Drosophila melanogaster: one gene and its partner. Changing the gene in region 2 together with the main gene of any one other region gives a genetic interaction. Each region holds a gene or a part of one and is shown on either strand. Other genes may lie near its edges.

Evidence for each region. A genetic interaction does not mean that the proteins touch.
Region 1: of Archease (region 2) and Rtca, changing one suppresses a phenotype caused by changing the other (phenotypic suppression), as found in Drosophila melanogaster (one study listed by BioGRID).

The regions. Positions count from the first base shown.
Region 1 is NC_004354.4:2,070,881-2,075,454, reverse strand, and holds Rtca (RNA 3'-terminal phosphate cyclase), read right to left. Parts: upstream 3,043-4,574; 5' UTR 2,730-3,042; intron 2,339-2,729; exon of another isoform or gene 2,322-2,338; 5' UTR 1,745-2,321; coding exon 659-1,744; 3' UTR 589-658; downstream 1-588. Other genes in the region: CG4045 (uncharacterized protein), read left to right, coding at 1-248, 316-417, 484-588; CG4199 (uncharacterized protein), read left to right, coding at 4,029-4,095. UniProt on the Drosophila melanogaster protein: Catalyzes the conversion of 3'-phosphate to a 2',3'-cyclic phosphodiester at the end of RNA.
Region 2 is NT_033777.3:21,660,667-21,664,885, reverse strand, and holds Archease (archease), read left to right. Parts: upstream 1-1,913; 5' UTR 1,914-2,021; coding exon 2,022-2,076; intron 2,077-2,142; coding exon 2,143-2,167; intron 2,168-2,666; coding exon 2,667-3,057; 3' UTR 3,058-3,700; downstream 3,701-4,219. UniProt on the Drosophila melanogaster protein: Component of the tRNA-splicing ligase complex required to facilitate the enzymatic turnover of catalytic subunit RtcB.

The DNA of each region.
Region 1 (4,574 bases), on a different chromosome or scaffold from region 2:
AGGTGTCGGACTACGTGGTGGACCGGATTGCGGCACTGCGTCGACGATGCGCGGATACGGGTGCATACCAGAACATTGCCTGCTTACGCACCAACGCCATGAAGTATCTGCCCAACTACTTCGTAAAGGGCCAGCTGGAGAAGATGTTCTTCCTCTACCCGGACCCACATTTCAAGCGCGCCAAGCACAAGTGGCGTATTATCAACCAGGCTCTACTCTCCGAATATGCCTATATCCTCAGGAAGGGGGTAAGTCCAACAGTTTCCTGAAAGTACTCGAAATGCGGTCTGCTTACTGCTTAGTCTGCTTACCCAGGGTCTGTTGTACACCATGACGGACGTTGAGGACTTGCACAAGTGGATAGTGACACATATGGAGGAGCATCCGCTGTACGAGCGTCTTACCGAAGAGGAGGCCGTACGTAGTTCAAAACCGAGATCACGCAGCCAAGTCACACATTAATCATTACGTTTAAACCCACAGAATGCTGATCCCATCACCCCGAAGCTGTACCAAAGCAGCGAGGAGGGCGCTAAGGTGGTTCGAAACAAGGGCGATCATTTTCTGGCCATTTTCCGGCGCCTTTAGGACACGTATATTCTCTATATATGTAGACATTAATTTAAGGTTTCCTTAGAGTAAAGAGATCTATCGATTGTTAAATCAACTTGTTCACATGTCCCAAGCCCTTGCAGCTGACTAGCATCTGGCCGCCGGGCTCCATCGCCACATCGAACTTGACCCCTGTCATTTGCTCGGCTACATTGATGGCGGTGCGCGTGTGATTGGTCAGCTTGCCTGTGCGCATCGTTGAGCGGCCCACGGCCAGGGCCATGTAGATGATGAGCTGGTCCTGCATGTAATCATCAACGCAGACCTGTTTGCGCATGTAGTCGCCCAGTTGGCACGACGCCTCTGAGCCGAGAACGTGTCCGTCGATCCTCTTTTTGCCCAATGCAGAAGCACCTAGGACAACGTCGGAGGTCGTGTTGACAGTCATCAGGATGCCGGCTCCGTTGTGGAATGCCTTCTGGCGTGAATGCTTAATCGGCTCGATGCTGCACTGCTGGGACGGCCACAAACGATGTATCTCGCGTTGAGCCGTCTGTTGCATGTCAATAGCAATATTTACCGGCAAGCGGCCGGCGCAGTAGGCCACTCCGCTGACCGATTTGATGCGGCCGAAAGCCACTAATTTTCCGGAATTCAGCTTGGTCACGGGTTGCACGTCCAACTGGCATCTGCCTTGGCCGCGTGGATAGAAGCCGTACCGCTGCACCTTCAGGTCGAAACTAACCCCGAAGTGTTTTAGGTTGGGCAGCAGCACCTCCTGCATGTATTCCACCGGAGGCGCAAAGTCGACGTTCGTGCCCCCGGATACGATCAGGCGGGACGGGCGTCCGGCAAAGAGAAGTACTGGGAGCGCCATCTGATAAATCAGAGTAATGCTGGCCGCCGTGTGCGTTTCCACGCGATACGTGTTGTCCAAAATGGTGCGCGGCGTGAACTCCACTGTGGAGGAGAGCAAGTAGTTTCCCACCACGTCCGCATTGGTTATGTCCCGCAGGAGGTTCAGCCCATGCAGGTGCTGGTGCGAGAGCCCAGGACTCGGGCGGCTGGCCCGGATCTTTACCACGCGCACCGGTTTACCCAAAATGCAGCTGAGGCTGAGGGCGTTGCGCAGGGCCTGCCCGCCGCCCTCCAAGTAGGAGCCGTCGATCTCCAACATTTTTTCCGCGTCCATTTTCCCAATTTATTTATGTTCAGGGATTTTCAGTCTGGTTTCCTCTCAGGTTGTCAGCCAAGTGTGTGTCAGAACAATCGGAGCAATCAAATATCACAATGACAGGGGCTAAGAATAACAGCTCCATTTCACTCGATTGGGACGGCACACTGTGATCCGGGCAGTGTGCCCGACGCTCGCGTTTGCTTGGAAACAAACACCTGCCACTGTGGAACCACTCAAGGCGCGCACCATTCGAACTGGTCCGGCAGCACTGGCCAGACGTAAACAAGCGAACTTTTACAAAATAATACATTACCAGCGCAATAGTTAAAAGTTAACTAGAGATGGCTGTGTAAGTGTGCAGTGTCCGCCGGCGCATGGTCGTACGTGCCGCCTTCAGGCGATTAACTTATCTGCAACGTGCCATCGCGAAGGCAATTATGTATCTTGTTCTAGTCCAGCTTAGCAGTGGTTTAACTGGCCCGAGGCATCGAAGGCGAATCACTTGGCAATTGGGCAATCGCTAGCTTGGTCCTCCTTCTCCACTGGAATGCTTGACTGGCCTTTTTGCCTGTCCGTGTCCAAAGTAGGAGGGCTGCAAATAAGAAAAAAGTAACTAATAACTAATACATTTAATTGAAACCACTTTCCGTTGGAAAATGCTCTTCGAGTTTTTAAGGCTCAACTGTATTTTGAGAGTCCCATTCCCTGGGTCTGATAAAAATAAGCCTATCCGCATAACTGGACTGTGTCAACATTCGCTCAAGCAGACATTGACGGAATGGGCTTAGGACATAATACACCTGACATGGCTTCCATGCGTATAGAATGATATTGAATGTGTACGCTCTTAAGAGCATTATTTTCGAACTCCTTAACCAAAGACAAGAATACAATGTGTCCAAAGATACAATGTTTACCTCGAGATAGCGAGATATCAACAATTTGTTCGGTACTATCCGTATCAACAGGTCTAAGGAACAGCCATTTCCCAATTACTTACGAAGGCAGTGACGGAAAATTTGGTTTACTTATCGTTCTGGTTATTCCACTCGAAGAGTCATGGCAACCGCAATAAAACGCTGGTATTTCGTGTTCTTGTTCTAGTTCCGCTGGCGGTGATGCAATTCTGCCGGCACTGACTGTGGCACGATGGGCTTAGCTCAGCTCAGCCAACAGGTACATATGTTGGTCGCCAAGTGCATTGGTCCGAATCGCGAAGAAGGCCAGCTATGTGTTACCCTCTACGACTTCTTGGTGCTGGCCACAGGCTGGTGGAGGAGATTGCTTCGAAGTGAAGTGCGGCGACGGCAAGGTCGCGAAGTTTTTGTTAGTGGAACACACGAGAATGGTCGGAAAGGCTGACAACTGCGGTCAGCGTTATAGTTTCCAGCGCTCTGCATTGGGTACCTCATAGGTAGTTTATCCTGCCAAGAAATTTTCTTGTTTCGTCTAGGTAGTCTTGGCGCTTGTTTCATCTATAATCGCATTATACACATGAGAGATGCATTGAACAGGGAGCGTTGCGATTACACAGTAGGGCTGGCTCCTAGTATCTTGACCGTTCCTGTGTCCACGGACACACACAGAGCCCAGAAGTGCGTGTGTGTTGGGGAGGCACGAAGCTTCCAGTTCCAGTCGAATCCAGCGACGAAGTTGCGCGCCATACGCGGTCCGCAGTTCACGCGCGCCAGACGTGCCTCGCATTGCATTGGCTCTTGCTCTCCCGGCTCTCTCGCAGCGTTCCTGGTCCACTCGACTCCACTTCGCTTATCTCGGCACAGACGCGGACCCCCGACCTGTTGCACGCTCCCAGGCTCTCATCCTCCCTTCCACGCGATATTCCAGTTGTTTTGTTTTTGTTTTGTTTAGTGTTGTTGTGGAGAGTGGTGAGTGATGATTGGCGACTAAAAGCAATTCGCAAATAAACAACGACGTGTGTTGTGTGTGCTGCAAAAAACAGCATCTCGGACACGTTTGGGGGAGTTCAGCACATCCATCTGCGGCTGATGACTCAGGCTGTGGAGGAATAATTAAATAGAAATGATTAACACGCGGGAACTAACTAACTGATAACGAGCTTTGGCACAGTGATTGATTGTTATTAAGTGAAAAGTAAAGCTCCTAAACTGGCCACTCAACTTTCAGGTGGCAGTCCCCTCGCACAGCTCTGAGCTTGGTCAAAACGAAACGAGCCTTTGAAGGCCTTCTGAGGATACGCAAGCTCCCGTCCAGCCAATCCTGGAGGATACTCAACGCCCCGTCTTTTGCGAGCCACATCAACAACCGCCTGTTAAACACAATGGGTTCCGTCAACTGCAAGGAGTACAAGACCACGGGCAGCACTCCCAAAAAGGAGAAGTCGACAGGTAAATGCACGATTTACAGATGAATAGTTTTCGAAAGGTCAATTGCCAAACAACAAGGCAAGGTCGCATTTCCAATTTGACTGCGCCACTTCTAATCTCGCAAATGGTTTCTTCCCAATAAAATAAGATCATCTTGCCCAAAAAAAAAGTTCCAAATGTACTTAAACCAATCCCTTCGTTTTCCGACTTCAATTCGAAAAGTGCGTGGTAATGTCGTAGATGATCCGATTGCCACCAGTGCCGTGTTCCTTTTACCAACTAAACGAGGCCAAATGGCTTGGAGTTGTGATTAGGAGAGTGGGAATGACCCGCATTAGATGGGTGTTTTCGGGCCGGGCGTAGGTGCCTAGATGATTGTCTCAGCGGCACAAGTCCAAGAGATTGGCAAAGAGATAGGGACGGCGGGAGGGCGCAACTTGCTTGAACTGCTGCTGCGTCATTGCCACAGTAGCTATCGATGCGGGAATACTTAATCCCGG
Region 2 (4,219 bases):
CGTAAAAAGAAAACTACAAACATGACAAAATCGTGCGTTAGTATGGAAGCATGGTAACAGTGGTAAACGAAAGACTTCAACAAGACACAAACTTGGGGGTGCGAACAACTTTTAAATCCACTTAGAGGCGGCAGCCAGTCATGCAACGCGAGAGCAACAACGTATGATAATATTTGGCAATTCTTCAGTTTAGCGGTTGCATTTGCAACCAAGTTGACCAACGGTCAGTTATTTAACAAAACAAGTTACCTAGCTACTTAGTTTAGTTGAGTTTTCCGAACTCCCGAGCTTTAGTTTCACTTCCAGGCAATTTACTTCTGGTTGTTCCAAATATATAGTGTAGCCAAATATGAAATTCTGGAACTCGTACGCAAAGGCGCGCAAATATTCGAGAATAATAATAGCTTTACAGTTATTTGCGCCGAATACGCGACGTGAATCAGGCGAGCTCCCGTAGCCAACTGAACCACTCGAAGACGTAGGAAACCAGAGAAAAAGAGCTTCCACCAAAAGTGGCAGCAGCAGCCAAATGAGCCATAATAAAAAAAAAACCACAAAAATAGCAGGAAAATGTTTGAAAGCCATAATATGGCCGGGCACAAAATTGAGCTTTGTCAACTCGGCTTAGAGTTTGACACCCCCAAGTCGCGTTTCCTCATGTGCAAAATGAACAAAATTGAACAAAACGGTCGTAAATCACCAGCAGAAATCATTCATAAATTCCTTTAGAAATGCGTAGAATCATTTAATTGACCGAGATGCGCACTAACTGATAACCATTACTTAGCAAGTTATTATTAATATTATTTCATATAATTTTATAGCATGTTTGATAATAATTCATATTAATGTCCCAAAAGGTGAACAAAAAGTAAATACAAAATTCATTTGAAATAATACAAACACTTTAACTATAAAATAACTTTTCATTTCTCTTAACACACTAAATATTTCTTGAACTTTACATCAACGAGTTGAACGACCTTAGAAATAAATATTTCCTTCGCTGTCTATTTCAAACAATAACCCATCACCGCTGGTTGAAAAGTGATCTGAATTTAATGAGGCAATATTTATTAGACAATCCCATGTCCGTCAATGGGTATTATTCAAGTATGAAATCAAGTACTCACAGCCAGCGCTCAAGTTCATGGGATTGAATAAATCAAGCGACGTGATTGACAATCGTAACGATTGACGGCAATGCTGCCGGTAGGCCAGAAGAAGATTTTGTGGACTGTTTCTTTTGGCAAATGAAAATACAAGGTTGCAGCTTCAGTTGTTATGGCTGATTGCGATTTAATGAAAGGACAAGGTCGCTCTTACAGAAATTCAAAACTGGGCTGAAAACATGCGCCAGCACTTTGTAGCACTTTAAGTGCGATAACAAATGGTGGGCATAAACTGGAAATTCTGCTTTAATTTTGCTCAAAATTACTTAATTTTATTACAATCACAGCCTTTAGCACAATTTTATTTCTTTCGTTCTGTAACGTTTTTAGATATATTTTTTTTAACTAAAAGGGCCGTGGGAAGCATTTTGTAAACACTTTATTAAAGGAGGAAGCATTATTTTTATTTTTCTTCTCTTCTGATGTTGGAATCCTTCCCATTTGACATGCATATTTAAATTACAAGTTTTTTAAATTACAAAGTTAAAAATAAATGAAGCCTTTAGGTATTTTTAGATATTTTTAACAATTTCGAATTTAAAAGCTTGATAGAAACTTTTATCTTATAATTCAATCTTTATAATTTATAGTTTACTCTTTATTAAATAAAACCCAAATATTTCTTACAAACAATTTTATACATTTTATTAAAATTTGTATGTTAACATTTCCCGGTTTGAGCTCAGTATTTTCTGTAATTTGTATGTTAACAATTTCTTATTGGAGCTCGGTATATTCCTTTCAGTAGGTATTTTCCCCTGCGCATAGATGGTCACACTAAGCGGTTGCTGGTTTGTTTATAGTTTTTGTCCGCGAATTTTACTTTAACTTTAGCTATAACTAACAATAATGGAGGTGGAATTCAGTAGGGAGAACTTCCTGCTGCCGGAGATGAAGTACGAGTGTGAGTAGTTCTTCGATTTGCAGGAGAATAATCTGTTGCTAAATATTTCATCACATTGCGTTGCAGACCTGGATCACACGGCGGATGTTCAGTGAGTAAGATAACAACAAAAACAACAAGTGTGCCCGTTAGCCATGTGGAGTAGGGTGGTTCGCTATTTGTGAATGAAAAATCCAGATGATCGTATAAACTAGATTCTAATAAGCGCTTTCGTATTAGAATTTGAGATATAGCAAACATTCTGAAAAAGAATTTATTTTAATTTATACATATTTTAAAGCCATTATAATTTTTCATATTTTCCCAAACCTATGTATTATGTTCATAGTTAGGGAATACGGCTTTTTAAACGTCAAATGTATCTGCTTTTTTGAAGATTATATGTAATGCAAGTTTTTTCTGACTTTTATATTATACTACTATCGCTTAAAACAACAAGACTATTATTAAGTAGTAGATCATAAATAATTCTTTTACTACGCCACTAAAAGGCAGCAGTTTTGTATATAAATTATAACTTACGGCTACAATAGACATAATTAATTTACTTAATATAAACGGATGATGTTGGAATCCTTCCCATTTGACAGAATCCACGGATGGGGATCGTCGCTGAAAGAGGCGTTCGAACAGTGCGGAGTGGCCATGTTTGGATATATGACCGAACTGGATTACGTGTCCGTGGAGCAGTGCTTTGAAATCGAAGCGCATGGAGATGATCTGGAGAGCTTACTCTTTCACTTTCTGGACGAGCTGCTGTTCCTGTTCTCTGCCGAACCGTATCTGGTGTGCAAGAAGCTGGAGATCACCAAGTTCGATGTGGAAAACTTCGAGATTTCCTGCCATTGTTACGGGGAACCATTTGAGCTGGGGAAACATCCGCAGGGCACCGAAGTGAAGGCAATCACATACTCGGCCATGCAAATCATTCAGGACGTGGAGGCCAGCAACTACGAGGTGTTCGTGATAATTGACATTTGATCCAGCGGCGATCGCCGGGAATTAAATGTGACTGTTCTGTTTCAACCCCTTTGCCTGTCTCCATTAATCATAAGTGAAATGCCAAAAAACGATATAAAAACCGCTGCATAAGCCCCGAAAAATTTGCAATCTCTCGTGCTGCGACTGCATCCCTTGTCGATGAGGATGACTTATCAAGAAACCACTCGATTGTGCGGCTGCAAATGCAATTAGGACTGGCTTCCTTCTCACCGGTCTGATTCCGGAATCAAGATTTACCCTTTTGCCTTCGAATTTTTTGTGTACTATTCACTTTTTTTTTGCCCACTGCTTTGTGAATTGGCAACGTGTTGAATTCCCAGACAAATGCCGAATTTGTTGTCCTTTCCCAGGCCCCAGTTCAATGCACTTTTTATTCGGCAGCCTTCAGGAGTTGCTGACGCGTTGGGTTGCATTAAAGAATTAAGTTGTACTTCTTTTTGGGGAGTCATGTCGAATAGGGCAGTTAACAATGCAAGTCAAGGCCATAGTTTTAATGTTATGATTGACTTGATTTGTTCGACATAAAGTATAGAGAATGCGGGGCCTAAAAACACAAACATATTTTTTTATCAACAATAATTTAGTTCAATGAATGTAAATCGTAATAAATATCTATACGATTAAGCAATCCCTAATTCTAAATATCAATCCACGACGATATCAACAAATATTAACGCTTTTCAAAAAACCGATTTCCTTTGAATAACGCGCTATTCTCGAATCAGTATTATTCGGATGATTTTCGCGTGAGCCGATGTTATTTAGTGGCCGATGAGCGAAGTCAGCTGGTAACACCGAGCGATTTGTTTTGAAACAGCTGACCGCACCGTCAAAACCCAGAAAGTAAACAACAAAAAAAACATTTGCCGGGCAACGTCGCCCAACATATGGGCCCGTTCTTGTATTTGTGTGGGTGCGTGCGTGCACGAGTATGATGATTTTTCCTTGGAACATCGGGCGAAGAACGGCGAACTGAAAAATATACGCTTTTACAGCTGATTGATATTAAAAAAAAAGCAACGCTGCGGTCGACGAGCCATACGAATGAGCGTGCGAAAGAACAAACAAAGTATGAAGGCAAATAGCCCGCGGACACACACGCACACACAAACGGCCAGTTGGTCGATTCGCTTTTAGCTTT